Linked DNA regions of Pelodiscus sinensis. The protein of the gene in region 3 purifies or fractionates together with the protein of the main gene of each other region. This does not show direct contact. Links are inferred from orthologs where the notes say so. Each region holds a gene or a part of one and is shown on either strand. Other genes may lie near its edges.

Evidence for each region.
Region 1: the proteins of CDK19 (region 3) and MED4 purify together in Homo sapiens (affinity purification with mass spectrometry; 7 studies listed by BioGRID and IntAct, counting the BioPlex papers as one, with this or other methods). This does not show direct contact. The link is inferred for Pelodiscus sinensis from reciprocal best matches to the Homo sapiens genes CDK19 and MED4.
Region 2: the proteins of CDK19 (region 3) and MED21 purify together in Homo sapiens (affinity purification with mass spectrometry; 6 studies listed by BioGRID and IntAct, counting the BioPlex papers as one, with this or other methods). This does not show direct contact. The link is inferred for Pelodiscus sinensis from reciprocal best matches to the Homo sapiens genes CDK19 and MED21.
Region 4: the proteins of CDK19 (region 3) and MED31 purify together in Homo sapiens (affinity purification with mass spectrometry; 6 studies listed by BioGRID and IntAct, counting the BioPlex papers as one, with this or other methods). This does not show direct contact. The link is inferred for Pelodiscus sinensis from reciprocal best matches to the Homo sapiens genes CDK19 and MED31.

What each region holds. Positions count from the first base shown.
Region 1 is NC_134711.1:288,753,936-288,760,939, forward strand, and holds the start of MED4 (mediator of RNA polymerase II transcription subunit 4), read right to left. Parts: upstream 3,013-7,004; 5' UTR 2,862-3,012; coding exon 2,530-2,861; intron 1-2,529. UniProt on the Homo sapiens protein: Component of the Mediator complex, a coactivator involved in the regulated transcription of nearly all RNA polymerase II-dependent genes.
Region 2 is NC_134711.1:119,852,166-119,859,568, forward strand, and holds the start of MED21 (mediator of RNA polymerase II transcription subunit 21), read left to right. Parts: upstream 1-4,385; 5' UTR 4,386-4,570; coding exon 4,571-4,612; intron 4,613-4,757; exon of another isoform or gene 4,758-5,150; coding exon of another isoform or gene 5,151-5,180; intron 5,181-7,403. UniProt on the Homo sapiens protein: Component of the Mediator complex, a coactivator involved in the regulated transcription of nearly all RNA polymerase II-dependent genes.
Region 3 is NC_134713.1:79,074,436-79,081,877, reverse strand, and holds the start of CDK19 (cyclin-dependent kinase 19), read left to right. Parts: upstream 1-4,422; 5' UTR 4,423-4,584; coding exon 4,585-4,725; intron 4,726-7,442.
Region 4 is NC_134731.1:14,453,457-14,461,207, reverse strand, and holds the start of MED31 (mediator of RNA polymerase II transcription subunit 31), read left to right. Parts: upstream 1-4,737; 5' UTR 4,738-4,932; coding exon 4,933-4,942; intron 4,943-7,751. UniProt on the Homo sapiens protein: Component of the Mediator complex, a coactivator involved in the regulated transcription of nearly all RNA polymerase II-dependent genes.

The DNA.
Region 1 (7,004 bases), on a different chromosome or scaffold from region 3:
CCCAACAGATAGAATCTGAATAGATCCAATTTTTGTCTTTGTATTGTTTTCAAGAATCACTGTGCTCCAGTGATAAAGTTGAAACATAATTTGGATAGTATTTTTTAAAATAAATTAAATTGGATTTAGATTTTTTTTTTAAAGAATGTGAATTGCTCTTTACATTTTAGAACTATCTTTATAGAACCTAATTATTACCTGATCTTGGTAGGAACAATTTTTAGACTTTTAGTATAATTATTTAATAAAGCGTAATAGGCAACAGTTAAAATTAAGCAGCCTGTCAATTTCTGTATAACATAAAGGCTCTGATCCTAAAATCTGTTCCATGTTGGCAGACCCTTATTTCCATAAATTGTGATACTGACAGCATGGGTTTCACATGGATACTAGTATATGCCCCCACAGATGACAGAATCCAGACCACGTGACTTTAAATAAATTTAGGCAGAAAGTGAACAAGTTCTGTCTTAATAAGGGATGTTAAAAATTGTGTAGAACAGTAACTGTGTATCCGCTAAAAATCTTAGCAGTGACACAGTTAGTTAAATATGCTGCAGGCCCTGCAATATAAAGCTTAGCTTTATACTACAGAGCCTGCATCAAAACCTCCCCAGGAGCGGAGTGGGTAGCTCTTGCCTGCCTGGCTGCTGGGGCAGAGGTTTTGCTGCCCTGCTGTATCAGCTAATTGATTCAACTCTATCATTTCTAGTCTTAATAACAGAAAGTACCTTTGACTTGAGGGCTACGTCTACACTGGCATGATTTTCCGGAAATGCTTTTAACGGAAACGTTTTCCGTTAAAAGCATTTTTGGAAAAGCACGTCTAGATTGGCAGGCCGCTTTTCTGCAAAAGCACTTTTTGCAGAAAAGCGTCCATGGCCAATCTAGACGTGCTTTTCCGCAAAAAAATCTCTGCTGTCTACACTGGCTCTTTTGCGCAAAAGTTTTTCGGAAAAAGACTTTTGCCCGAACAGGAGCAGCATAGTATTTCTGCAAAAGCACTGACAATCTTACATGAGATCGTCAGTGCTTTTGCGGAAATTCAAGCGGCCAGTGTAGACAGCTGGCAAGTTTTTCCGCAAAAGCAGATGATTTTGCGGAAAAACTTGCCAGTCTAGACACGGCCGAGGTGTTTGCCAAGTTATTTTAAAACAATTATCTCAAGTCAAATTTTGCCCCGGATTTAGGTTTTATAAAAGCAAGCAACCTGAGGCCAAAATAAAATATTGATTAAATAAAAAATGGAAAGCTTGGTTTTATAGAACATTCCCTGTAACACTTGCATTCCAAAACATGGCAGTCTGAAAAGAAACTGACTAAAACCAAAGTGAAACTGATCAGTGCATTTTCCCAGCCATAGCCCCAGAAATTGAGATAAATACAAAAAGTATTCCATATAAATAGGAAAATACATTCGTTTATCAACTTAACTTGAAAAGGTAATCTATAGAGAGCCCCTGCTTCTCTGGAAGGAAAAAGACTATGCCAAAGGACACCAGTTGCACCTTGGATATCAGCACAGTAACTTTCACTGAATAATTAATGTGGGGAAATTTCTGTGGCATGTGGATAGAAGTGAAATAAAGAATGCCAAGCATATGTGGGTGATTAAATGGAGGAAAGGGTTACTGAGGATCAGTTTCAAAATGTATTTCATTATGTACTCTAGGGGACCCTTTAGTGTGCACTTGCTGGGTCTCTATATAGACCAATTAATGTGCACACTACCTCCAACTAATAGGCCACAGAAAGGCAATACAGAACAAGGCACAGTTGTATTTTGAACACTTATCAGTATTTTGGCAAGGATCAATAAAATAGACAAGATTTTTAAAAATGCTTGTCCTATCCCTGCCTGTTGTTTACTTACACTGTAAGTGCTAAACTTAAAAAACAACAAATGGTCTGGTAGCACTTTATAGACTAACAAAACATGTAGATGGTATCATGAGCTTTCCTGGGCACAGCCCACTTCCTTAGTTGACGGGAGTTTTGTAGGTAAGTGCTGTAGATCAAATAGACGTCTTAGATGTCTATAGTAATATATGCAACCGACGTTTCAATGGTTCATTTTAAGTTACCTACTTTACTAGCCACTAGACTAAAAAACAGCGCCTTTATTACAAATCCCGCCCACCCCCCGAGTAATGCTTTTGAGGTTGGTTTCTCGGACGTCCAGGGACAGTTCTGAGCCGACCTGATTGCAAGCCGACAGAGAACGGTGCATGTCAGTTTCCACACAGGGAGGAGTTAAAGCAGCGCTCACGGCAAGGCCATGCCCGGCAGGGAAAGGGATTTCGGTAAGTTACTCGCACCCTTTCTCCGGCTTCCCGAATCGGACCGCTAGCGGCCGGGCCCCCGTTCTCGGGGCTGAGCCCCCATCCCTAGGGCACCTCGCCCCGCCCCGGCGGGGTCCCACCTGGCCAGGGGCCTCTCGGCGCTGCCTCGCTAGACAGGAACCGCCGGGTCCCGGCCGCGGCGGCGCGAGTGAGGCCGAGCCGAGCCCGGCCGGGGGCGCGCGGCTACCTGGCCAGCAGCTCCAGATCCTCCAGCGCCGCCAGCAGCCTGTCCCGCGTGCTGCTCCGCTCCCCGCCCGCCGCCATCGCCGCGCCCGAGCAGCAGCCCGCCCCTGCAGCGGCCCGCGGACGCAACGCCAAGGGCCGGCGACAGCGGCATCCGGCGGCGGAGGTCTGAAGCGCAGCCCCCTGCGGAGCCTGTGCCCGCGCCTGGGGCCGGAGACAGCAGAGCCGGCCTGGGCGGCAGCAGGAGCTCCACAGACTCCGCCTGAGGCGCGGGCCCCGCTTTGCAGCTGTCTCAGCAGGCCCAGAGAGAGAAGCAAATTCCTGCTGAGGGACCATTGGTTTGGGGTCGGCCTCCCAGTGCGCAGGGCCCAGCACCTGCCAGGCAAGGCTCTGTGTCCACCTGTTCAAAAAGTGCCTTTCCAGCCCTGGCGGTTGCACAGAACAGCGGGACACCAAGGCTTGGCGGACAGTGGAGGCTTGTGCCAGGCCTGGGCTGTGCCACAGAGTTAGCTGCCTTGCATGCCCCTGGGCATGCCCCTGTCTGTGCTCACACCTGTGTAAGTGCCCCATTATGACAGTGTAGTAACACCTAGAACCAGGGTTAACCTATTGAGGCTGCTACAGCAGGAGTAGCGAGACTCTGTCAACCTAACAGTCATCCAGAAGCTAGTCCACTATGTCCCACCCTCTCCCTGCAATAGTGTCCACTCTGATCACAACTTTAAATTCCACTGCACAGGAGACACAGAGATCAAAGCCACCATCTGCCTATCTCAGTGGTGGGCAACCTGCAGCCCACAGGCCACATTTGGCCCACTGGGGTTACACTTCTGGCCTATGCAACTGTGGGAGAAAAATCAAATAACTCCAACTGTGTCTAAGGAGGGATTGTGCAGGAAATCAAAAGTCTCTAAAAGAAAACTGCTGTAAGGGTTAAAAGTTTTCCAGGCCTCTCTCCCTGTAACAGAGAGAAATCATCTTAACTTTAATCAAGACCCTTACAATGCCTCCTATCTCAACTTCATGAAGACTCCTAGTCTGTCACAATTTGTCATGTAAACTCTTATCTTTGTCACAGTTTGCCTTGTAGCTCCTCACTCAGGTTATCATATGCTTTTGTACTGTAAAACTTACTTCTAGCACTTCTGGTGAGAACAGAGTACTTCTGCTGAGACTTTGATATGTTAAAGGAAATAATCAACAACTAAACTGTCTGAACATACTGTATAAAGGATCCCTGAAACTCTCAGGGCTGCTGCTACTCTCACTCCGGTAGCTGTCAGCCTGCATGCATGCATAATAAAGTTTTCCTTCAAGATTTCTCTCCTGCCTCACTGTTTTGACCTCCAGCCTCGACCCTTCTGCGGACTCTGTACCCCAGGGGAGCGAGATTTCCCCAACACAACCCATGTTTGCCCCTCTCCACACAAGTGCTTCTTGTGCACTGGGGGCATTGGAGCCCCACATTTCTTTCTCCTTCCCCGCCCTCACAATACTTTTGGAATGCCACAAATCTTCTGATTTGTGCTCCATCACCACTTCTCCCACTTCCTCCCAGAGCTTGAACATGTGAAACAGCTGTTCAGTTGGATCACTTGATAATTATCTGTTCTGTTCATTCCCTCTGGGGAATGTGACACTGGCCACTGTCAGAAGATAGGATACTGGGCTAGATGGACCTTTGTTCTTAAAGATACGTGTAGACCTCCAGGATCCCAAAATAGCTAACCCGTGTCTTTTAAATGTGCCTATTATTTGAAAAAAATGAACACGCTATTCCAACATCCCTGTAACCCTCATTGCATGGATGTTTCAAAATAGCATGTTATTTCGAAATTTGGCACTGTGTAGACATGCCAAATTTCAAAATAAGGTACACAATTTTCATAGCGCAAATTGCATATCTTATTTCGAGTTCAGGGTGCTGTGTAGATGCACTCTAAGGCTACGTCTACATTGGCCCCTTTTCCGAAAGGGGCATGCTAATTTTACAGGTCGTAATAGGGAAATCCGCGGGGGATTTAAATATCCGCCGCGGCATTTAAATAAAAATGTCCGCCGCTTTTTTCCGGCTTTTAGAAAAGCCGGAAAAGAGCGTCTACACTGGCCCCGATCCTCCGGAAAAAAGCCCTTTTCCGGAGGATCTCTTATTCCTACTTCAAAGTAGGAATAAGAGATCCTCCAGAAAAGGGCTTTTTTCCGGAGGATCGGGGCCAGTGTAGACGCTCTTTTCCGGCTTTTCTAAAAGCCGGAAAAAAGCGGCGGACATTTTTATTTAAATGCCGCGGCGGATATTTAAATCCCCCGCGGATTTCCCTATTACGACCTGTAAAATTAGCATGCCCCTTTCGGAAAAGGGGCCAATGTAGACGTAGCCTAAATGTCCTGCAGCCACTGGTTACAATGTGATCCTTAAAGTCATTGCTCATTTCTTGGGCTTAGAAGTGGTGCTCTGACATTTGCAGCTACTCTATGAACCTCAGCATCAATCTAAAGTTGTTTTCCCACTGTTTCTTAGCACATTGGTTCTCAACCTTTCCAGACTACCATACCTCTTTCAAGAGTCTGATTTTGTCTTGTGTGCCCCCTCACTTAAAAATTGCTTGCTTACAAAATCAGATATAAAAATGTAAGTGTCATAGCACACTGTTACTGAAAAATTGCTGACTTTCTCGTTTTGTCTGTATGACATTTTAATTTGTACTGACTTTGCTAGTGCTTTTTATGTAACCTATTGTCAAAGGCAAATACCTTTGTGTCGATGTATCTCCGGGGTATATGTACCCCTGACTGAAAACCACTGTTTGGCAAACTGTCCTCAAAGAAATTATATATATTATACTTTCTGCAGGTCTGCAAATCCAAGAAAATAGTGCATCATATATTTGTAATGTGCATAAAAAGAGTGTAGGTTCCATGTTCTGTCAAAAATGGTAGATACCAAAAAAGTGTCACATGGATTTGTGGGTTTAAAAAAAAAAGGTGAAAATCATGGAATATGGATGGCATTATAGGATGGAGAAAGTTATGCGCTGGGAATATGACCTCTAGCTCCCAGAGGTCCGTGGGTGAGTTGTTTCTATTCTACAGCGCATTGCAAACATTTCAACACAAGACATCGTGCCAGACAGATGTCCATGACACACCGCAAGATGTCCATGACCTTACCCATTGTGCCACTGAACTTTGTGTCAGCACAAGCACTCCAGGTGAATACATGCAGCATTTGACACAAGCAATCAAGTACACACCAGCACAAAGGATATACAAACTTTGTCAGTTGTATGCCAATGGAACTTGGGTCAGCCAAAGTTTGTAATGTAGATATGACCTCAAAAACAAGAAATCAAAGGAAAAGAATCCACAATATTTTAACAATCTCATCATTTTTAAGCCCGTCGTCTGGCTGTTTGATGCCTGACTCATGATTTTTGAACACTTAGGGTTGGCAATATTGAGGATGCGGTGTAAAACCACAGAAACTGTCAGGAAGAGTAGGGGCAGCACTTAGAATTACTTTTACCTTAATGTTTTAAATTTGACTAGCTTTCAAGTTGATGGTTTGAACAACTGAAAATGGATATACAGTTATGGACTCCATCATGCACCTTACTCCTGCGCAAAACCCTGGGCAAATCAATGGGATTCTCCACAAGTGCAGAGGTCTGACCATTTAGATCAGATTGCAGAGTAATTAGATACAGAACATGGTTCTAATCCTGAGGACAATCAAACCACATTTTGATAACTTTAAAAGTATTAAATTACAGTAGATGACCGTGATGCTGCATATCATGCAGACAGATTTCTGGGGCCTGTATGAAGCCCCCCTTAAGTTAATATGGTTACTATGTACCTAGAACAATTATTGCAAACAGACCTGGAGACAGAAGCCACAGGGTGGGTGTGAAGTAGAGAGAAACAGAGATGCTAGGGAAGAAGGTCTCTGGGTACTAGAATATTATTCTTTACAGCACATGGAATTAAAACCAGAAGTCCTCAGTCTGTCCATTGCTCTGCTGTCAGCAAATATGAAACTCACTAGCAACATGGCTGTGTCTAGACTGGCAAGTTTTTCCGCAAAAGCAGTTGCTTTTGCGGAATAACTTGCCAGCTGTCTACACTGGCTGCTTGAATTTCCGCAAGAACACTGACGATCTCATGTAAGAAATCAGTGCTTCTTGCGGAAATACTATGCTGCTCCTTGTCCAAGACGGAACATCAGAAATGGCTGCCCGTCACAGGGAGCCATAGCCTGTAATACCTCTGAAGCTGGTATAGGGGGCTCTGTCTGTGAGGTGGAGTGTTTTCCAAATAAGGGCATGTAAATTAATAATCTTCCCCTGCTCGCTCCACCCATTGCAGTAAAAGATCAGCCAATGGGCTGACTGGTGCTCAGGCCTGCTACTCCACCCACTGCAGCAAAAACCAACCTATGGGGTGATAAGTTCACAGGCAATAAAACAGGCAGGCAGCCCC
Region 2 (7,403 bases), on a different chromosome or scaffold from region 3:
GGAGTGCAGCAGAACTCCTAGTTCCAGCACCTCTGAGTGGGTGTACTATTATAACAAAACCAGTACAAATACCTGGGGAGATAGTTTTGTTTTAGCTTAAGAGTGTCTTGCTTTGGCTTAATGTAAACTGGTTCCCAATCAACCCAAGCTAACCGAAACCAAAAAACCACTCAAACTGAAATCACACAGAGGTTTGCACTGTAACAGTTTAAATTCACACCTTAGGCATGCAACTTTCTTGTACAGACAGGTCCTACATAAGTGTTTGGGAGATTGAAATCTTTGTCAGGAGGGATGGCGGTTTATTGTGATTTGTCTCTGCTCATGAGATTGTTAGCCAAATTCTACGTGCTAGGGCAACAAAATGATAAATCAAATTCGATACTGATTAATGCAAAGTAATTCACACTGGAAATCATAATCCCAATTATACATATAAAATGACAGGGTCTAAATTAGCTGTTACCACTTAAGAGTGAAATTTTGAGTCATTGTGAGTGGTTCTCTGAAAACATCCACTCAATGTGCAGCAGCAGTCAAAAAAATGAATAGAATATTGGGAAACATTAAGAAAGGGATAGATAATCGGCCAAAAATTCTTATTGCCTCTATATAAATACATATTGAATATTGCATGCAGATGTGGTTGTCCCATCTCAGAAAAGATATATTAGAATTGGAAAATGTTCAGAAAAAGGCAACAAAAATTATTAGAGGTATGGAACAGTTTCTGTATGAGAAGAGATTAATAAGACTGGAACTTTTCAGCTGGGAAAAGAGACCACTAAAGGGTTATACTATCATGAATGGTGTGGAGAAAGTATATAATGAAGTGTTATTTACTCCTTCTCATAACACAAGAATGATGAGTCACTAAATGAAATTAATAGCCAGTAGGTTTAAAATAAACAAAAGGGAGCATTTCTTCACACAACACACAATCAGCTTGTGGAATTCTTTACCAGAATTGTTGTGAAGGCTATAACTATGAAAGGGTTACAAAAGAACTAGATACAGTAATTATTTGCTTAACACGTGCCCGCTTAACACGTTTTCGCAATAGCACGATTTTTTTTAGGGAACATTTTTTGAATAATATGACCGTCCCCGAAATAACACGAAAATAATCAAGTGGGGACTACTTCGCGCGGTGGTATAAGTTGGTGAAAACAGTGATAATACACGAGCGGATGAATACACGTGGTCACAGTGCTCCTCCACTCACTCACATGTTTATCTTTATGTTTTAACAAACCACAGTGACTTGTGTTGCTAGATATCTAATGTTGACGTTGATGACTGAGCACCAACAAAAAATTGACTTTGCCACCACCACCTGAAATGCAACCCCCACCTTTTCCATCATTTTTAATGGGAAAATTGACCCCGCATAGCATGTTTTCGCTTAGCACAAACATTTTCAGAAACACATCTGTAGTGCTAAATGAGAAATTATGGTACAGTACATTCATGGAGGATACCTCCATCTATGGCTATTAGCCAGGTGTCCCTAGCCTCTGTTGTCAGAAGCTGCGCATGGATGACAGGGAATAGATTACTTGATTGCCTGTTCTGTTTATTGTCTCTAGCGTATCTAACATTGGCCATTCTTGGATGACAGCATACTGTGCTACATTAATTTTTGGTCATATCCAATATGATTATTCTATAGATTTGCATAACATCTTTTATATGTTAACTGACGTAAAATAAGAATCTCATCAGCATAGGCTTGCTTTTCCTAGAGTATCTTTTCTCAGAACTGATAGAATCATAGTCCAGTCCCCTTAAGTGAGGCAGGATTAAGTCTACCGACAGTACACTATTCTTGAGAAATGCTTTCTATGTATGCCATAAACAGAATGGCAGTTTGGATACTCTGGGCTGAAACTTACCATGCAAGATCTTAATGTTTCTGGTTGGTTCAAAATTTCTGATATTTATCTGTTCTCAGAATTGCAGAAGTTGATTTTAATCTCGTTTTACTCACAACTGATAAACAGTGTGGCTTGTGTTTTAGTTTTAACTTGACATTTCTCTTGCAAAAGAATTAAGTCATGCAAAAAAAGTGTTAAGTAACATACCTGGAATTTTAATAATACACATATATGTAGGGTCTTCAGTATTACTTTTAGACATAACATTTCTCCTTAGTCTCGGTTAGAAATGATAACTTTGCTTTTAAGGTACAGCACTTTTTTCTGCTACATGTTTTTGCATATAATCATCAGTGAGGACAGACTGTAAATTAAACAAGTTAGACAAGGTAACATGGAAGCAAACAAGGAGAGCCCTGCATGAATACAAAATTTGTATCTGCACTTGTATCCACAAAAATAAGTTGCAGATATCTGCATTGACATCTGTGTATGTGAAAACTCACAGTTAAAAAGTGGATAGCCACAGATTTGCAGAGTTCTAGACACAATTTTTTTATCCACATCCATATCTACACAAATGAGCTGTGAATATCTACAGATTTTCAGGGCTCTACAAACAAGGTCACTAGTTCTGGGCTGTACATCAAAACTCTCTAAGGATCTGATGTGACTCTAGAATCTTTCTGTGCAGTTGTGCATCACATTACTAGAAAGATATTGATAGTTTGAAGGGAGTTTAGAGAAGAAAATGATTGGAGAGCTGTTAGGATTGATTTATGAAGAAAAATATTGAAGCAATATTGCTTGAATTAAAGAGGATTTGTGACAGCAGTCTACAAATATTTGTAAATTCAAGGCTGGTAAAGAATTGTTTATAATAGTGCCAGGGAGTAAAAGTGGGAGTACTGAGAAGAAATTAAGATAGCTAAAATGTAAACTCAGTGTTGGAAACAGTTTCTTATTTAGTAAAATGTATAGGCCGTGGAATCATCTCCAAAGGAAAGAGGTGGAAACCACAGTACATGAGACCTCTGAAACTAAATATAAAAGTAATTATATAGTAGGAGACAATCTTTTGGGCCCTAATATGTCTCTTCCATCCCCAACTTTTAAGGGCTTGGGTAGACTTAAAATGCAACAGTTGTGTCACTGTAGACACTACCCACACCAATGGGGATTCTCCTATGGACAAAAGCAATCTACCTTCCAAACAAGCAGTACTAGTTTGATGAAAAAATGCTTTGGTAGTCCTAGCTGTGGCTACAGAGGGACTTTAAATGCCCTAATTATGTTGCTCAAGGGTGTGGATTTTTCACTACCCTAACCCATATGGATAAACCACCTTAACTTTCTAGTGTTGACTAGCTCTAAGATTCCATGCCTACATGCACAACTATGCTTTCAACAACATACTCAAGCAGCTTTGCCAATCCCAACAGCAAAAAATTGAGAGATTGCCTTTAAAATTGTGAGATTATTTTAACAATAATGAATGATTAGTGCTTTTTATTTGCCTTGTGCTTTCTTAGTAATTAGGGTACCACATGGGCACAGGCAACTTGTGGTAGCACCCATGAGGTGAAAATGTGATTGCTAAATGGAGTGCTCCCTCATGCCCTCTTCTTCTTCCTCTGACTGCCTTTCCCTGCACCCTCTCCCCTCACAGGCACAACTCACTTATTCCATGGGCATGTTTTTCAGTTTTTTTCTGGAAGTATGGAGAGTAGAAAAAAGAGCTGAGATTCTAGTATAGTCATTCTGCTTCCATCCTAGCTCAGGGCTGTTGCTTAAGCGGGGTGGGCCAAATGGTGTATCACAAAACATTACATTTGTCACTGAGAGGCTTAGGACCTGAGAATCTTGCTTGTGTCACACTCCTTGGCTGCGTCTAGACTGGCATGATTTTGCGGAAATACTTTTAACGGAAAAGTTTTTCCGTTAAAAGTATTTCTGCAAAAGCGCGTCTAGATTGCCACGGATGCTTTTGTGCAGAAAGTGCTTTTGCGCAAAAGCATCCGTGGTCAGTCTAGATGTTATTTTGCGCAAGAAAGCCCCAATCGCCATTTTCGCCATCGGGGCTTTTTTCCGCAAAACAGTTCTTTCCTGTCTACACTGGCCCTCTTGCACAAGTATTCTTGCGCAAAAGGGCTTTTTCCTGAGCGGGAGCGGGAAAGTATTTGTGCAAGAAGCACTAATTTTGTACATTACAAAGTCAGTGCTCTTGCGCAAATTCAAGTGGCCAGTGTAGACAGCTGGCAAGTTTTTGCCAGTCTAGACCCACCCACCTGCAAAAACATCTGGCAAGAAAAAGGTTTAATAATAAAGTGGGAGGAGGGGAGTGGATTTAAAACAATCCTGGGCCCCCCTTGTTTCTGTCCCTGTTTGTCCCAGGACGCTGGCCATTGCCCTGTACACTCAGCCCCCGCCCCCACCTAGCACTCACTGACAGCAATTACAACAATTTTTTGCATTGCCCAGTGGACGCCACCTTTGGCCTTTCCCTCCGCAGGGCGTCCCGTCAGCTGCCGCGGCTCCTCCCAGTCGGCAGGGGGCGAGCGACGATCGAGGCGTCCCCTGGGCCCGAGCCGCCCTTCGGACCCGAAAGAGAACCACGCACACACCGCGCTCGGGCTCTGTCCCATGGGCAGGCGGCGCTGGGAGCCGGGCGGCGGGGAGCGCAGGGGAGCATCATGGCGGATCGGCTCACGCAGCTTCAGGACGCGGTGAACTCGGTGAGGCGGGAGCTGGTGCGGGCCTGGGCGTCGCTCCCCGCATCTCCTCGGGCCGCTTCGCGAGCCTCTCCCCGCGGCTTGGAGGCGGGGGCGGGGTCACAAACCTGGGACTCGGGGGGGGGGGAGAGGACAATGGCGCCGATTTACAGTTAGGGAGGCCGTTGGGCTTTGAAGCGTTCTCGGCTGTTCTCGCGCCCCGCCCCCCGAAGCTCCGGAGGGGGAGGGGGCGGGCTGGCTTGTGTCTCGCGCCTCGCGCCTAGCTCTGTCCCTCAGCTGGGATCCGCTCCCCGCTTTAGAAGCGCCCCGCGCTGAGCTCGCGCCGCCCGGGAACTGACCTGTCCCAGCCCGCGCGCCAACGCTGAGCGCGCGCCGTCCACAGCGGGGGAGCTGGGCGCTGTTGCTGGCTGTGCCTGTGGCGAGGCCGCTTGTTGAGGGAGACGCTCCCAGAGGCCCTTTGCCTCGGTGCGCTCTTCAAGTCGGTCTCTCGGCTCACTCTTGGAATGGCTGGTATGGGGCTAAAAGGAGGCCGCCGTGGGGAATGCATCTATGTATCTACTCTGCCTCGGTGGTAGGTGCTGGTGAGAGGACACTGCTCCCCCCACCGCCATCACTGATTACAATAATTTCCCCACTTAATTTCACCAGTAAAAGGCTGGGCAGCGTCTGCCCATGTGGCTGAGGAAAAGGGCGAAAACATTTTATCTCTGCAGCAGCCGACAGAGATTATGATTTAGGAACCAAATGTATGTCCTGGACTTGAGTGTACTGATGTTAGCATCTTAGTTAGTCACTGATCCTGCCAGTTGATCTATGAAGTAGGGATGTCATCATGTAGACCACTCCACAATTAACCACTGAACCTATGCTTATCGTTTAAATCTTGTTGATTACACGCATCCTCCCCCTTGCTGCCTCTGTGTCAGAGACAGCAAGGTGGGGACGAAGCTGGTGCCCATGTCCATGATGAGCTCACTTACCTGAACAAAAATAGGTAATCATCAAGTGAGCCCTCTCCTGTCATCCATTTCCAGACTTTGACAACCAGAGGTTAGGAATACCATTGTTATCCATTTTGGCTAATAAGTATTGATGGACCTAATCTCCATAAATTTATCTAGTTCTTTTTTGAGCTCTGTTAAAGTCTTGGTCTTCACAACATCTTCCTGCAAGGAGTTCCACAGGTTGACTGCTGCATGAAGAAAATCTTCCTTTTGTTTGTTTTAAATCTGCTACCTATTAACTTCATTTGGTGACCCTAGTTCTTATGTTATAGTCAGAAGTAAATAACTTATTCACTTTCTTCATACCTCTTGTGATTTTATAGACCTCTATCATAGTCTCCCTTATTCTCCTATTTTATAAATTGATAAATCACAGTCTTTTTAATCTCTTTTCATATGGCACCCATTCCAACCCCCACCCCCGGTAATCATTTTTGGTGACCCTTTGTGACCCTTTTCCAATGCCAATATACCTTTTGAAGCTCTTCACGGTCTGCATTGTTCTTAACTATCTTGAAAAATTTCAGTATCCTCTGCAAATTTTGCCATCTCACTATTTACCCCTTTTTCCAGATCATTTATAAGTAGGTTAAATAGGATTGGTCCCAGGACAGACCCTTGGTGAACACCACTAGTTGCCTCTCTCCAGTCTAAAAACTGACCATTTCTTCCTACTCTTTGTTTCCTGTTTTTTAACCAGTTACCACTCCACGAGAGGACCTTCCTTCTTTTCCCAAGACAACTAACTCTTAACCCATGGCAAAGAACTCTAGTAGATCAGTAAGGTATTATTTCCCTTTACCAAAACCATGTTGACCTTTTCCCAACAAGTTATATTCATTTGTGTGTCTGACAAGTCTATTCTTTACTATAGTTTCAACTAATTTGCCTGGTACTGACATCAGACTTCTCGGTCTGCAATTGCCAGGATTACCTCTACAGCCTTTTTTAAATATTGGTGTCACATTAGCTATCTTCCAGTCATTGGGTACAGAAGCTGATTTAAAGAATAGGTTACAAACCACAGTTAATATTTCTGCAGTTTCACATTTGACTTCTTACAGAGCTCTTGGGTGAATGTCATCTGGTCCCCTTGACTTGTTACTGATACATTTATCAGTTTGTTCCAAAACCTCCTCTAATGACACCTCAATCTGGAACAGTTCTTGAGATTTGCCACCTAAAAAGAATCACTCAGGTTTGGGACTCTCTCTATCATCCTCAGCCATGAAGACCAAAGCAAAGAATTAATTTAGTTTCTCCGCAATGACCTTATCATCTTTGAGTGCTCCTTTAGCATCTTGATCGTCCAGTGGCCACACTGGTTGTTTAGCAAACTTCCTGCTTCTGATGTGCTTAAACATTTTTTGATATTGCTCTTTGAGTTTTTGGCTAGCTGTTTGTTCTTCAAACTCCTTTTTGGCTTTCTTCTTATATTTTTACATTTGATTTGACAGAGTTCATGCGCCTTTCTGTTTTCTTAACTAGGATTTAACTTCCACTTTTAAAAGGATGCCTTTTTATCTCTCACTGCTTCTTTTACTTGGTTGTTAAGCCATGGTGTCCCTTTTTTGGTTCTCTTACGATGTTTTTTTTAATTTGGGGGATACATTTAAGTTGGTCAGCAGTACGGAATGTCAGGGGACTCCCTGGGAGTGGGGCAGGGAGCACACTGGCTGCTGGCCCTGCCCCAGGGACTATCAAATAGTCATGTACCCACTAAGATTTCATGTGGTTGTACCACTATTCAGTTAGGCTACGTCTATACTGGCGGCTTCTTGCGCAAGAAC
Region 3 (7,442 bases):
TAGATTTTCCATCCACTTGTCAAATAGTTGATAAGCAGGGGAACTGCAGCGGGACCTGAGAGCTAACCCTGCTGCAGCTCTGCCTTTTAAATGTATTAATAGCTTGTTGGCTCTTAATATATTTAAAAGGCTAAAGCGCAGCAGGAGGGACTCAGCATGAGCCAGGACAACTAACAAGCTCTTAAAACATTTAAAAAGCAGAGGTGTAGTATCTGGGACTGGATGCAAGCTGGGAATAAGCTGATTTCCAGCTTGCGCCCAGTCCCCACTACCTCCCTGCGGAGACGGAGCTGGGGGAACTGGCTTTTAAGCCGGCTCCTTCGAACACTGGCTCTTGTCCCCTCCCCCCTTGCGGACTCTGATAGAGGCAGCAAGGGGAGGAGGGTAAGCGACTAGTTGAGGAATTAGTTGACTATCCTATAAGCTTTTGCTTATTGCAGAGGTGGAGAACCTTTTTTGGGTTGGGGGCTGTTGACTCACAGAAAAATCAGTCGGGGGCTGCACACAAATTAGGAGCAAAATAAAAAAACAAAAAAACACCCCAAGAATAAACTCCCACTGACATTGAGGAGATAAAGCTTCAGAGGTTAGTCTGTAACAGGAAAAACTTAAAAAATAACAATTAGTCTAGTAGCATCTCAAAGACTAAATAGTTACAAGAGGCTGATAAGAACCATTAGTTAGTACTTGGAAAGGAAGATGACCAACACCAGATTCTACACAGACATCAAGAACCATTAGCACCTTCATTGGTCGGTTGGTTGATAATGTGTGAACCATGATTCACACATTATCATAAGAAATAAACTTGTGAATGAAGTTAAGCTCCAATCCTTCTCTGTGTATTTGGCTTGTGGAATTGGTCTGAAACAAAACAGCGACTTGGAGATCCATTAATGAGTGTCCAGGAAGATTAAAGTGTTCTCCAACAGGTTTTTGTGTGTTGCCTTTTCGGATATCTGATTTGTGTCCATTAATTCTTTCCCATAGAGCAGTGGTCTCCAACCTTTTTACACCCAAGATCACTTTTCAAATGACAGAACAAGCCAAGAGCTACCGCCCCGCTCCTTCCTCGAAGCCCTGCCCCTTCCTCTCTATTCTCTCCATCACTTGCTATCCCCAACCCTTATACTGCTGCTTTTCCCCCAATCCTTCTGTAGGAAGAGGTTTCCCCAACATTTGGCCTGTCAAGACTGGACCAAATGTCAGTAAAACCCCTTCTTTTGGAAGCCCTCTTATTCCTCGTGGAAAGAGGAATATAGGGGTTACTGAAAGAGCATGTTTGCTCTTCCACTAAAAAAAGCGGAAGAACAAATGCATCCCTGGACGCAGAAGAGTTTTTCTGGGATATCTTCAGAATCCTGAAAAACTCCTGCAGTCTAGCCTTACCCTCACTGGGTTGAGGCAGGATGTATAGGCTCTGGGGTGGGAATGAGGGATTTGGATGTGGGAAGGGGTGAGAAGTGCAAGCTCTGAAAGGAAATCTGGATATAGGAGGAGGTGGAGAAGGGGACGCTGGGTTGGGGAGGGGGCTTCAGGCCGGGCAATGTTGGGGTCAGATGTAGAGTTAGGGTACTAAGCAAGCCACAAGCTTGTGGATATAAAGGTGCAGGAATTTGGGTTAGGGTATGTGAGGGGCTCAGGGCAGGGATTTCCAGTGTATGATAGGTTCAGATCAAAGGTCTGGGGGAAAGGGGTATGCAGGAGTGTCATGATGTTGTGGGCAGATGGGGGCTTGGCCCCAACTGTGGGTTTGTTGGCCAGGCTTCATTTTTAAATAAAATACTATGGCAAACAAAAAGTTTCTGCATTCTCTTTATTTATGAGAAGGGCAGGGAACCTGTTTTGAGTCAGGGGTCACTGACCCACAGAAAAGTCAGTAGGGTCCACACAAGTGGGATGCAAAATAAAAACTCCTCCAAAACTCCCACAAGCCTCACTAATGTGGCCCCAACTGTGCTGGTGGGAGCAGGGGGACATGGTATTGGGGAAGGGTGCAAGGGGGTATCGGGACAGGGTGCTGGCTAGGGTGCCAATGGGTGCTGGGGCAAGGGCCAGTGGGTTCTGGGGCAAGGGCCTGGGGCAGAGGACAGGGTGTCAGTGGAGGCAAGGGACAGGGTGCTGGGGTGGGGACAGGATGCCAGTGGGAGCAGGGTGTTGGCTGGGGCAGGGATTCCCCCCCCCCCAAGAGGAGAGAAGCTCCGGCAAGAGCCTCTTCCTGGGACGACTCCTCTGCAAAGGAGGAAAGCCCTAGCGCATTTCCCCCAGGGACTTCTCCCCCCTCCCTGGCGCGTGCTTCTCCCCGGGACTCCTACCTCCTCCCCCGCAGAGGAGAGGAGCCCCAGTGTGCACTGCCCCTCGGACTCCTCCCCTCTCCCTTACAGAGGAGGGGAGCCCCAGCACATGCTTCCCCCTGGGACTCCTACCTTTTCCCCGGCGTGCGCTTCCCCCTGGGACTCCTCCCCCATCCCCGGTGCAAGCTTGCCCTCAGGACTCCTACCTCCTCCCGGGCAGAGGGGAGCCCCGGTGCGCGCCTCCCCTCTCTTCTCTTCCCCCCCCCCCCGGAAGCCCCAGCGCGCATCTTCCTCTGGGACTCCTACTTCCTCCCGGTGCGCCACAGACCTGGAGGAGAGGAGTAGGCAGTGTACTTCCGGAAACCCCGGAAGTGGCACGCAGTTGCTGGACTTCCCTCCACCCCACAGGAAGTTGGCACTACCTCCGTTTTCGGAGGTAGGTAGTGGGGCTTCTTGGGGGCGAGGAGAATTGGAGGGGCCCCGAACGCCTCGCAATCACTGGTCGAGCCCTTCCGATCAACCCGTTGATTGTGATCGATGGGTTGGTGACCATGGCTGTACAGACTGTCCAGTCTGTCCGATAGATATTGCAGTGGGGGCATTGCTGGCATTTGACGGCATAAATCACATTAGGGGATGTGCAGTTAAATGAGTCTCTGGTTTGGTGGCTGATATGGATACTCCCCAAATTCTCCTCAAACAGCAGAGTCCCCCCCACGGGGTTCACCACCCCTAGCTCATCAGACAGTTGACTAGTAGCTTACATCCCTAATGAGGCTATATACCACTAATCTTATGAGAACAGCTTGAGGCACGATGGTAGCAAATATCAATTTCAAAACAGAAATGGGAATTGAAGGTATGTTTACCTGATGGAGCCTTTATTGATATAGAGCACAACCCTGTAGTGTAGTATAGCTACAGCCTATAGCAACAGATTTGTTGTAGTAACACAACCTCCCTGAATGACTCTGGCTATTTCCCTAGACACCACTTCTGTCAACCTAGAGTTGGAGCCTACACTGTTTTTTTTTAGCATAGCTATGTCTTTCTGGAGTGTAGTTTTTTCTCACCCCTAACTGGCATAGCTACTTCAAGGCAATTTAAGTACACACTAAGCCTAGGACAGAAGTGTGTGAGTGGCCCTTTTCATGATAGTCATGCTTAAGTCCCATGACTGGCTGTTTTCTCTTGCAGTGGAATAGCCTCCTGGCAATGTTGTCATGGCGATGATGACTCAGGAATGAGCAGGGTTAGTGCCTGGCCGTCCGGCATTGCTCTGTGCAAGCAGTTCTGGGCCAGCCTTTGATTGTGCATCACCCCGAAGGCAGGGATGTGCGCTAGCGCGGTGCCTCGCAGGGCTCAGCGGGCACCTCCGATCTTTCGCCCTGGCGCTGGTAGGGAAGGAAGCCGAAGCGCCAGCCCCTTGGGCCGCACCGGGGCGCGCAGGCGGGGCCGCTGCCTCCTCCTCTGACCCCTCGGGGACAGCAGGTGGGGCCCCGCCCCGGTTCCACTTGTAGGAGGGTGTCGCCGCCGCCAGGCCACGCCAGCCCGCGGGGCCCTATTGCATCTGCTGGAAACTGGGCGGCAGCATCTAACCCGCTCCGCGCTGCCCCGGCCACTCCGATCAGAGACGGCTCCGCCCCAAAAGCGCGTGCCAGGGCGGCTGATTGACGAGCACGGCAGCCACTCACGCCTAAGCCCGTAGCCCAACGACTAAATGCGCGAGATGAGCCGTAACCAATCGGGATCGCCAAAGAGGGGGGAAGGGCGGGGCCACGCTTGAGTGGCAGCTCACAACGTAAACAAGTACCAGCGCCACAATCCTTCCCCTCCCCCTAGCTGAAGGGCTGAGGCTCAGGTACTGAGCACGGTCTCGCTGCGAACCAACCTCCCTCCCCCGTGTGGTTGCGCCTCCCACCTCAGTCGGGCAAAGTGAAGAGTCAGCAACTTCCCAGCGTCCGCTGAAGCGCTTAGCCGCTCAAGGGAGCGCAGGCGCAGGCAGGGAGTGGGTATTGCGGTGCATGCTGGGAAATGTAGTTCTCCCGCCGCTGCCTGCCTATGGAGCCTTTGGATCCGCGGCGCCCGCTGCACTATCAGTCCCAGAATGCCCCGCGCCACGGTGCAAGCCGCTCCAGTTGAAGCGGGTGGCGGCGGAGCGGACCAAAAAAAAAAAAAAAACCCCACAACAAAATCCAAGAAAACAGCCCCCCCAGCCCCACTCGCGGCAATGGTGCAGGGAGGGGGCTCCCGGCGCCGGGGGCGCTGATCCCGCCGCGCCCCCTCCCCCATGGGTGAGCGACATGGACTACGAGTTCAAATCCAAGCTGGCGGCCGAGCGCGAGCGGGTGGAGGATCTGTTCGAGTACGAGGGCTGCAAAGTGGGGAGAGGCACCTACGGGCACGTCTACAAAGCGCGGCGCAAGGACGGGTAAGAGGGGGCGGCGCTGGCACGGGGCGGGGGCTCCTGGCTTGGTCCCCCCCCCCCCCCCGCCCCTGAGTGTCCCTCCGCCCTCCTGGGGCCGCGGCGCCGGGACTCCCTGCAGGCGTCCCCAGTTCAGCGACGCTGATGCCGCAAGCTCCTGGGCACCCTCTCGACCCCGCAGCTGCGGGAGGGTGCGGTGACTGGGGGGGACTAGTTGTCTGTGGCCCCTGGAGACGGCAGTGACAGTGGGGCTGGGCGGTGCTAGCTGCCGCGCCCCCTGCCAGTGGGAATGCCTAGAAATCCCCACACTGGGAAGGGGAGCGGAGGGGACGGGGTGGAGCGGGACTTGGTGGTGGGGGTAGGGGAGCTGGCGGTGGTGTGTGTCCGTCCGTTCCGCCCCCCCCCCGGGAGGGAGAGAGCCAGAGCATGAAGGTGGCAGCGAGAAATGAGAGGGGCCACCCTGAGGTGAAGGTGGGAGGGTAGCAGGGAGACTGGGGCGAGCCCTGGTGCTGTGTGTGTATGTAGGGGGAGCAGTAGGAAAGAGGTGGGAAAAAGCCTGGAGGTTGGGGTAGGGACTTGAGGATGGACTGTGGTAGCCTTGGTGGTAAAGAGTCTGTGCATCCCTCAGTGTCCCTTTCTCCCAGTCCCTGCAAAAGATGGGCTATAACAATTTTTCTTCTCCATGACTTTCCATCCGTTGACTTACTGTTTCACTTGAAGCCAGGAGGGATGGAGCAACAAAGGAAGAAAAAGGCAAAGAAACTAACTTTTGGAAAAAGTTTTTTGTAAACATTATTGTACTAAGGTAGAAAATCCAGCTTTCAAAAACAAAAAGATAACTGGATAAGAGGAAGTGGTGATGCAGGTGCAGCTCCACTGACTGGTGCATCCAGGCTTAATATAGATCATACATTTACTGAATAAGCACCTATGTTCAGGGCTCCCAACAGGCCCTGAGTGTTTTCGCAAAAAACAAACAAAAAACAAATCTAACCAACAACTTAGTTCTATACAGATATGCACACACAAATAAAGAGTATTTTTGGTATATTGCTGCTAGCCTAGTGTGTTCTGTGTGGGCTGAGTGAAGCTTTTAAGTGATGCTTCAAATATCGTAGCTTCATTTAAATTAATGTTTGTATCCCCAACCCCAGAAATGTTAATCCTGTGAAATTTGTTAGCTGGTCAGTGATGTGGTGGTGCTTAGTGTTCCTTATGAATTTTGCGATACACTTTATAGCCTAATTAAGTAGAAACTGAATAAGGTGGTGCTAAAAAGTCCTTGTTGTCCTAGTGAGGTTAATTCAGTATACCTACTAAATGTCTGGTTTTTAAGTGTGAGCATTGTTTGCTACTTATGAAGCACTGGCATCTCCAGAGTGAATCAAAATTATTTTTAAAATCCAAAAGAGTGGCCTGCTGTGTCTGTTTGTACTTTTCTAGTCTACGCCATGTAGAACTTTTCTGTAGCTTTTAATGAGTCTGGTAGTTGTTCGATGTGTATGACTCCATACAAGTAGCTAGTTAGGCCCAGAATGAGATGTACTGCTCTTCTCTCTGTGATGCTGGAAAGGTGGGATGGTAGTTCCCTGGCTAGTTATTACTATTCCTTGCTTGTCTCATTTAATTGTATGGCAATTCTGTAAGGAAAACACCTGATTTATCTCAGGTGTTGGTCTGCATGTATGCTGGCCATATTTATGCACACTACAATTACAGCGGTGAAACTTACGTCACTTGGGTTGGGTTTTTTAAATACCTTGGAACAGAGTGACATAAACTTTGCTGCCACAAGTAGTAGTGTAGACATGATCTAAGTTAGTAGGGTATAATACTGAGGCTAAGCAAGGGACAGGCAAAATATGGCCCGTGGGCCAGATCTGGCCTGCCAAACATTTGGATCCAGCTTGTTGTAGCCCAGTGGGACTTTCAGGTAGGCTCCTTGGATGCTGCAGCCCATACGCTGCTCACAGTGGCCAGCATGTGTGTGTCTGTGCAGTGTGCCCCTTGGAGGGGATGTTGATCTCTGTACTCTGCCCCCTGCACCATCTTTGCAGCTGGAAACTGGCCAATGGGAGCTGAAAGGGCAGTGCTTGCAGGTGCATACACCACATAGAGGCCCAATGATTCCCAAGGGGCATGCTGTGCAGAGATGCACATTAAGGCTGCAGCAGCCAGGGAGCTAGCCCAAGCGTCCTTCCGGGCCACTGGCCAGGGGCTGCCTATGGTAAATTCTCCTGGCCAGAGCTGGCTTAAAAGCTGGTTTCCCCCAGCATCAGCTCTGCAGTGCCACCTACCCCTCAGAGGCAGCAGTGCAGAGGTGGGGCAGGGAAGGCTGCTGCAAAGGAGGCCTCTGTCCATGGTGGCCCAGGCTCATTGTGGACAAAGGTTGCTCTATGCGAGGTGGACCAGCCTTTGTCCATGAGGAGCTCGGACCCTTCCCCCCCCCCGCAGACAGGGGCTGCACCAGTCTCTATCTGTGGCCAGCCAGAGCCACCACAGACACAGGCTGTTCCATGGTAGCCTCCCTTCTCCCCCCTCGCTCCTGCTGCAGCAGCCTCTGTATCAGAGGTAGCAGTGCAGGGCAATAGGCAGCCAGTCTGTGCGGGGAGTTAGTTTTTGTACAGGCTCCCCTTGCGAACTGGCTCCCAACTGCCTCAGCCCACGCTGCTGCCCCTGGTGACTAACAAATAGTCTTGTAACCAATAAGATTTCATGCGGTT
Region 4 (7,751 bases), on a different chromosome or scaffold from region 3:
TCCAGGGACTGAGCATGCTGCCAGTACCCCATTCCTTTTTCCTGTACCATGATATGCTTTTGCTGGGCATTGGTGCATCTCAGACACTAGATTCTGGTTGGGAGACCAGACTGGAAAATCAAGGTGTTACAAAAAGTGATGTTAATGATTCACCAGTGCTAGAAGCACTAATGTAGGGTTAGATAGCACAGTTGCAAACACCTCTTCACCCTGGCTACAGCACCACTTATACTAAGTAGGGAGCAGCAGCCATACTAGACAGGCAGAGTGAAAAGTCATAGTGTTGGTGTCCAGCCAGTGAATAAATGGGTTTCAGTGTAAGTAACTGGTGCTCAGATTCTACCAGAAACATTATAACAAGGGTCTCAAACTCAATTTATCTGAGGACCAGTGCCAGGCCTCAGATCTTTCTAATGGGCTAGTGGGCACCCCTCCTTGGGAAGGGCTTTGGGTGGGGTGAGTATCTCTGCTGCCCCCCCCCCCCCCGGTTGATTTAAAACCCATCATGGGCCCCTGCCAATACCACCCAAAGGGCTGCGGGGTTAGGGTGGGGCTTCCTGCTGTTATCTCTATGCCACTACCAGCACCTTCCTATGGCCTGGGGGAGGTGTGTGCAGAGTCATCCTGTCCATAGTTGTAAACTGTGAAACTATTAAATCATCTTGTGAAAGTGACTAGCTATCCATGATGCCAACTCTCCTGATTTGATCACAAGCCTCCTGATAATTTGTGGGCTTTTTTTTCTGGAAAGCCCCAGCCATGTTATTAGAATTAAGTCAGATGTGGGAACCTGATGCTACCTGATGCTTCATACCTTGCTAACAATTGTGATAGCCTTGTCTTCTGAGCCCAGATTTTAAGGTCCTCCTTCACTATAACAATGCCTGGTAATAAATAATGGGATGGGAACTTCTTTTGGTTTATTTTCTTGAAGAATCCTATGTGTGAACCTGTGGCTTTCAATTTTCCTGCAGAATCAATTCCTCGGTTGGCATATATCAGCATAGTGCCTCTGACTTCAACAGGACTACCTCAATTTACAGCAGCTGAAGCTCCAGTCTTATGAGTTAGCTTGATTATAACTTTCTTTATATTTAATTTGTCACAGTTATGCATACATCAAAATCAGGTCAAGAAAGAATGGTAGAAGGCATGGTAGTTGGCATAGAGACTGAACCCAGCATGCTTTGGGATCCTTGGATACCCAATGCTTTAAAGGAGCAAAGTGTTATTAGTGTCCTATTGCACCTAGCTTTATAAGGCCTTACCTATGCAACGCGGAGAAGATGTGAAGTGAATGGAGACGAGAGGTCTGACATGAGATCATAAGTAAAGAAAACAAAATCTACCTGGATATCCAGATCACAAAAAATATTTCTTGAACATGGAAAAATGTTATCCGTTTAAATTGGGTAGTCAGGAGACCAAGACTAATTTTAATTACAAAGTACTTTCTTAATTCATAGGTAATAAATTACTTACAAGAATGATTAATTCTTCTGGCTTCTCTTCCATCCAGTAATGCAATGTCCCTGTGGTAACTGATTCCACATTTGGAAATGTCTTCTGTACCCACTTTATGGCTAAAATCATCATTTCTTTGCAGTCACTTACATTGCCAATCTCCTGCAGAAATTGTGCTGCCATTATCTTTGACGTTATAAAGAACTGTGAAGAATGTGCTCTAAAACTTTCCTACTTGCTTATCTAGGGAGCAGGTCACATGGCCAGCATTCATTTGGGAATATTGACAAAATTTTAACCCTTATAGTCAATCACATTAGTGTCAAAAACAAACAAACAAAAAGATTTCTTATGGAGCAAACTTCAAAAATTTAGATGTAAAAATTCTCATTTGTCCTTATAATTGAGCTCTGCAAAGCAAATGTTTTGCAAGAAGCAAAAGCTTTTTTTGCAATCATCTGAAAAAGAGTGCAAGTAAAGACCATTGATTGCAAAGGGAGGTTACTGATATAAAAGTGAACTTTGATTCCAGAGTTTATGCTTCAGCTTTAGCAGCCAATGCAAACTTTAAAATTATAAAAAAAAACAACAAATAGTCTGGTAGCACTTTACAGACTAACAAAACATGTAGATGGTATCATGAGCTTTCGTGGCCATGAAAGCTCATGATACCATCTACATGTTTTGTTAGTCTGTAAAGTGCTACCAGACTATTTATTTGTTTTTTAAGTTTTTCCTGTTACAGACTAACTTGGCTACCCCTCTGAAGCTTTTAAAATTATAGGCAGCTATGAGTGAGCAAGAGATATGAGACTAGATACAAAAAAGTAGGAACCATTTCAGAGCAGTTTTTATGTATTTACTTTTATGTATAAAGCTGCATTTAGTATTAAAATACATGATTAATGCTTCACCTTAACCAGTATGGTGGGCTGTGGACCCAGTTCTGTACCCTGCTGCTGATTTCATTGGGAGAATATGAAGACTTTTATCTCCACATTTTGGGTTTCCACCTCTGTTGTTTTGTCTGCATCATCATGGTCTACCTTTATTTTCTGTGTTTCTGAAGGGAAACCATTTTCCCTTGTGAGTGCTGTAATTGTGTCTAATAGTGATAGAAATGTAGGCGTGTTAGTCTGGTGTAGCTGAAACAAAATACAGGACTATGTAGCACTTTAAAGACTAACAAGATGGTTTATTAGATGATGAGCTTTCGTGGGCCAGACCCACTTCCTCAGATCAAATAGTGGAAGAAAATAGTCACAACCATATATACAAAGGATACAATTTAAAAAAAAAGAACACATATAAAAAGGACAAATCAAATTTCAGAACAGTAGGGGGATGGGGGGGAAGGTAAATGTCTGTGAGCTAATGGTATTAGAGGTGATAATTAGGGAAGCTATCTTTGTAATGGGTAAGATAACTGGGGTCCTTGTTGAGACCCATGCGTAGAGTGTTGAATTTTAGCATGAATGACAGTTCAGAGGATTCCCTTTCAAATGCAGATTTAAAAGGCTTCTGAAGCAGGATGCAGCATGTCTTAGCTCTACCTCCTACATGGAGACACACAGCTCAGTGCACTAGCCTGCCTGCAGATGCTGCCCTCTCTGCAGCTCCCAATGGCTTTGATTCCCGGCCAATAGGAGCTGCAGAGCTACTGCTTGGTCCAGGGGCAGTATTAAGAGCTCCATGGCTGTTATACTGCCTCTGCTTCTGGGAGCCGAGCACAGCAACAGCACATGGAATGGGAGAAGTCCCCAACCCCGCTCTCCATCTGGGCTGGAGTAAAAGGTCTGATGGCTAGGACACTGCCCATGGGGCGTAGTTTGCCCATCCCTTGGATGTAACTTATGACTTGCCAAAGCATCTGGGGCATTCCTGTGGACAGTGAACTCTACATCTTTTCCATGCTCGTGTGCTGTGAAACTTGTATTTGGAACATATGAAATACAAGCCACAAAGCAAGAGGAATATAAAGGGCAACTGCATCATTTCCTTTTTCTCTTCACTCCTGGTTATCTCTGGAGTGACTTTTTTAAAAGCTGAATCTCTGAAAAAAGAATTAATGTGCCATCCAAGCTGTGGATGTGCTCCAAAGGGCCTTTCAAGCCCCAAACTCTCCTGCTTTGACCCTGATGTATGGACTTTGAAGTCTTTGCATGAATGTTGCTGCTCCATCATTTAATACTCTTCTTGTTCTTTCTTTTTTCTTTATATAAACTTTTAGCTTTAGACACTACAGGATTGGCTGGCAGCATGGTATTTTAGGTATTTCAGACCCAACCAAATATTGACCAGACAATGTGGCTGGCCCTTTTGGGTTCAGATGTATATTTTGTATAGAGAGCAGAGTTATTTAAAAAACTTCTCACTGTACTCGACCTAAATGCTGATTGGGAGACAAAGAACGGGAATGCATGAAATGGGGCAATGTGATTTCTTTTTTGGCTTCTTGATAACCAGTCTGGGGAATCAGAAGCACAGCTGGTGACTGGTTGGGAAGTTTTCAGTGTTACTTATCAATCATGGGAGAATTTTCTCTGCCTTTTGCAGCTTGCCCTAGCTTTTTTTCAGCAAGGGTTACCTCAGGCACACTAGGTTACAATAATTAGAGAAGAAAAAATTGTTAGGGGCGTCTGATCTCATTGCGTTGCTTATTTTGGCTTTAGCCCAGCTGTGTAGACGGGCCCATTATCAGGAAGTGTATCAGAAGCTATCCTTCGTAGGCCAGATCTACACTAGACCTGAAAGGTCGGGTTACGGTACCCAACTCCATTTCTGTGAACTATGTAGCTGGTGTGAACATGCCGTAAGCCGAGCTTGGCGACATCTTCCTAGAGTGAGGCCGATGGGAGCATACGCTCCTGTTAGCTTCCCTTACTTCCCGCGAATCAAGGAGTAGGCACTCAATTTAGCAGGTCTTAAATAGACCAGCTCAGTTGAAGGCTGGAAGACTGATCTCCAGCACTGGCAAGGGAAGAGGTGGCCTTGATTTTGTCTCCTCTCTTTCCGTTATTTCCTTACACACCGCACTGAACAATTCCCCTTTGGTGCTGTCAGCTCCCATCTAGTCCTGGTCGCCCTGTGGTCCCTGTCCAGCTACTCCCAACACTTGCTGCACAGTGACGTCACAGGGAGTCCCTGGTGACGTCACACACGAGGCCGCATGCCTCGGGTGTGATGTGGTAAGCAGTACCGCTCCTCCCTCTGGTGTGACGTCACCCACTTGCGCACGGTAAGGGCAGGTCCTGGCAGCAAGGGACACACAAGGCGGGGCGAGCAGGTCACGGCCCCGCCCCCACCACCAGCTCTGGAGGGCGCGCCCTCTTCGTTACCCTAGTAACCGTCTCCACGCGCCGCCTGGCTTCCCAGAATGCACCAGGGCGGCTTTCCGCGAGGCTTCCGGCCGGCAGGGGGCAGTGCCGCCGCCATCTTGTGCTCGGCGCGCGAGTGGAGCCGCCAGCCATGGAAACAGGTGAGCGCCCAGAGCGGCTCCCTCCCTACTCAGGGGATTCTCCCTCCGCGCAGGGCTCCGGCTGGCCGCCTTGGGAAGGGCTCGGAGCGCGGCCCGGGGGGGGGGGGGGGTGAACGGAGCGGGCGCCGCTTCACCCCAGGCCTTGTCCCCACTTCTGCCCTCCCGAAGGCGCCGAGTCTCCCCCGCCCCTGGCTCCTTAGGGGGGCAGGGCCTGCGTTGTAACCCCCCCCGCACCGGCTCCGCCGCGTGGCCCCCGGTGTGTCGAAGGCTGCTGCCTGGAAGCAATGCGCTTCCTGTTGGCGCGATCGTGAGGAAACGGTCCCGCGAGCAGCGCAGGGGCCTCGGTTCCCTGGCGAGGGCTGCGTGTCGGGTGTTTCATCTCCGACTCAAGCCTCCCCCCGGGTTCAGTTCGCTGGGCTCGTCTAGGGCTCCGCGTCTCTGACACTGGACTAGCGCGGCCGAGCGGGGAAGGCGCTTGACTGCAGCCCGGGGGTCGGGAGGTGCTGCTTGGAAGGCCACCTCCAGTTCCCCAAGCTGCAAACTGGCGCTCGGATCCATTGGGTCGGGGCAGTCGGAGAGAGTTGGACGCCAAGCGGGTAGCCCCGCAGGTTGACAGGGCTCTACTTATATGGGTGGTCGCCAACCTTTTTAAAAGATCACCACAAGATCACTTTTTTCAATTTAAGTGAATTGTAAGCTCTACCTCAAACCCATATACCCGTGCCCTGCTTCCTTCATGCCCCCTCGGAGGCCCTGCCCATGCTCCACCCTTTCTTCGAGGCCTCGCCCTACTCACTTCATCTCCCTTCCTCCCCCATCCTCACTCCCTTTCACCAGACTGGGTTAAGGGCTTGGGCTGCAGGCTCTAGTGTTGGGCCAAGGGATTTGGCATGTGGGAGGGTATCCAGGCTTAGCCCAGGGTGGGGGTTTGGGGTTCAGGAGGGGTTTCAGGGTGCAAGTTCTGGGAAGGAGTTTGGGTACAGGGGGACTCTCTTCTGGTGTAGGAGGAGGCTCAGGGCTGGGACAAGGGTTCAGCAGGCTCTGGCTGAGCACCGTTTAACTGAGACAGCTTCTGGGTGATGGAGCCCAGGAGTTAAGGCAGGCTTACTTCTGCCCTGGCCCTGTACTACTTCTGAAAGCAGTCGGCATGTCCAGCAATGGCTCCATGGTGCCATGTGCTGCCCCTCATCTACAAGCACTGAGCCTACAGCTTCTACTGGCCACAGTTCCCTCTTATCGATCAATAGGACATGCAGGACAGGTCCGCAGGCAAGGACAGCATGTGGAGACCTCCCTGCTCTTCCTGTCTCAGGGGCTGCAGGGACATACCAGCCACTTCCAGGAGCAGCAATTATCACAGGGATAAAAACTCCAGCCACAGTAGGTTAGGCATTTTAGAACTCAATACTGAAAGAATTAAATTAAGCGTAAAAAATGAAAGTTATGAAATGGACAGACCAGTCAAAAACCAAAATTAACACAGTTTGCAAGCAGTAGAACAGTGGTCACCAACCAGTAGATCAGGATCTACCGTTAGAGAGCAAAGGTTCCAAGATCTCTCTCCCACACCCTGCACAGCAAGCAGGAGGCTTCCAGGGGGGCAGCTCTAAAGGAGAGGACAGGAGCAGCGTGACAGTGGGTGGAGGGGCAATTGAAGTGCCAGCACTTGATAGCTTCCTGGCCAAACCATTAAGGATCACCTGTCAGAGGCTCCAAGATCTATTGATGGATCCTGATCTACTGGTTGGTGCCACTGACTTATGTGGACTACATCACTTGCATGCATACTGTTGGGTATGAAACTGATCAATGTGCATTAACCACCCTCTCAGCACCATGAGCTATTGGCTCTGGAGAGCTTTGACTCTATTTTACCCTAATTCCCCATTTTACAGGCTAGCCAGTCATCACTCAGAATCATCAAAAAGCTGATACAGGATAGGGAAATTAAAAATTGTTTATTTGTGTAAATGTGTAACTGCTGAAAATTTTAGTAGTTGCATGTTTACATGCAGGGAGGCAGGCAGGAGGGTGGCGCTCATGGGGACCTGGCTTAAAAGAGAGGCTGCAGAGTGAGGAGGCAGGTGGCTCTGCAGTAGCTAGTGCTTGTTGGGGAGTAGGCTTTTAAGCCAGCTACCTCCCCCGCACCCCCCCGAGCACTGGCTCCCACCTGTCCCCCCACACTGCTGCCTCTATGACAGGACAGGCAGTTCTGCAGGAGCTGGTATGCACAGGAAACTGGCTTGAAAGTCAGCTTCCTGCATCTACCAGCTCCCATCTACCTCCCCACATCCCCTTGCTGCTGCTTCTCTTATTGGTTAATTGTGTACACGGATACATGCTAACATCCCTAATGTGAGATAGATAGTAAAAAAAAAATTATAGTTACATAACTAATGAGTCAGCATGTCTATAAATTAGGGATGTTAAAATTAGATTAATCAACTAATCAAATAGCCAATAGAATTTCCATCGACTATTTGATAAGGGCACTTCTGCTTTGAAATGTAGCAAGAGCCTGCCTTGCTGTTGCTACATTTCAAAGGCAGAAGTGCCACACAAGAGCTCTTGTACATTTCAAAGACAAACACTGCATGGAGCCCGCTGGCCCCATCGCGGGGATTCCCAGGGCAAGTGGGGAGCCCCCCCACTGCCTCCAGACTCCATGTGGTGCTTTTGCTTTCAAATGTACCAGAGCCCCAGTGGGGACTCTTTGTACATTTCAAAGGAGGAACTCTGCAGCTGTTCCCCTGGCCCCTCCCACGGAGCCTCAATCTCTCTCTCCCCCTCCCCCCTTACTTCCTCTTTC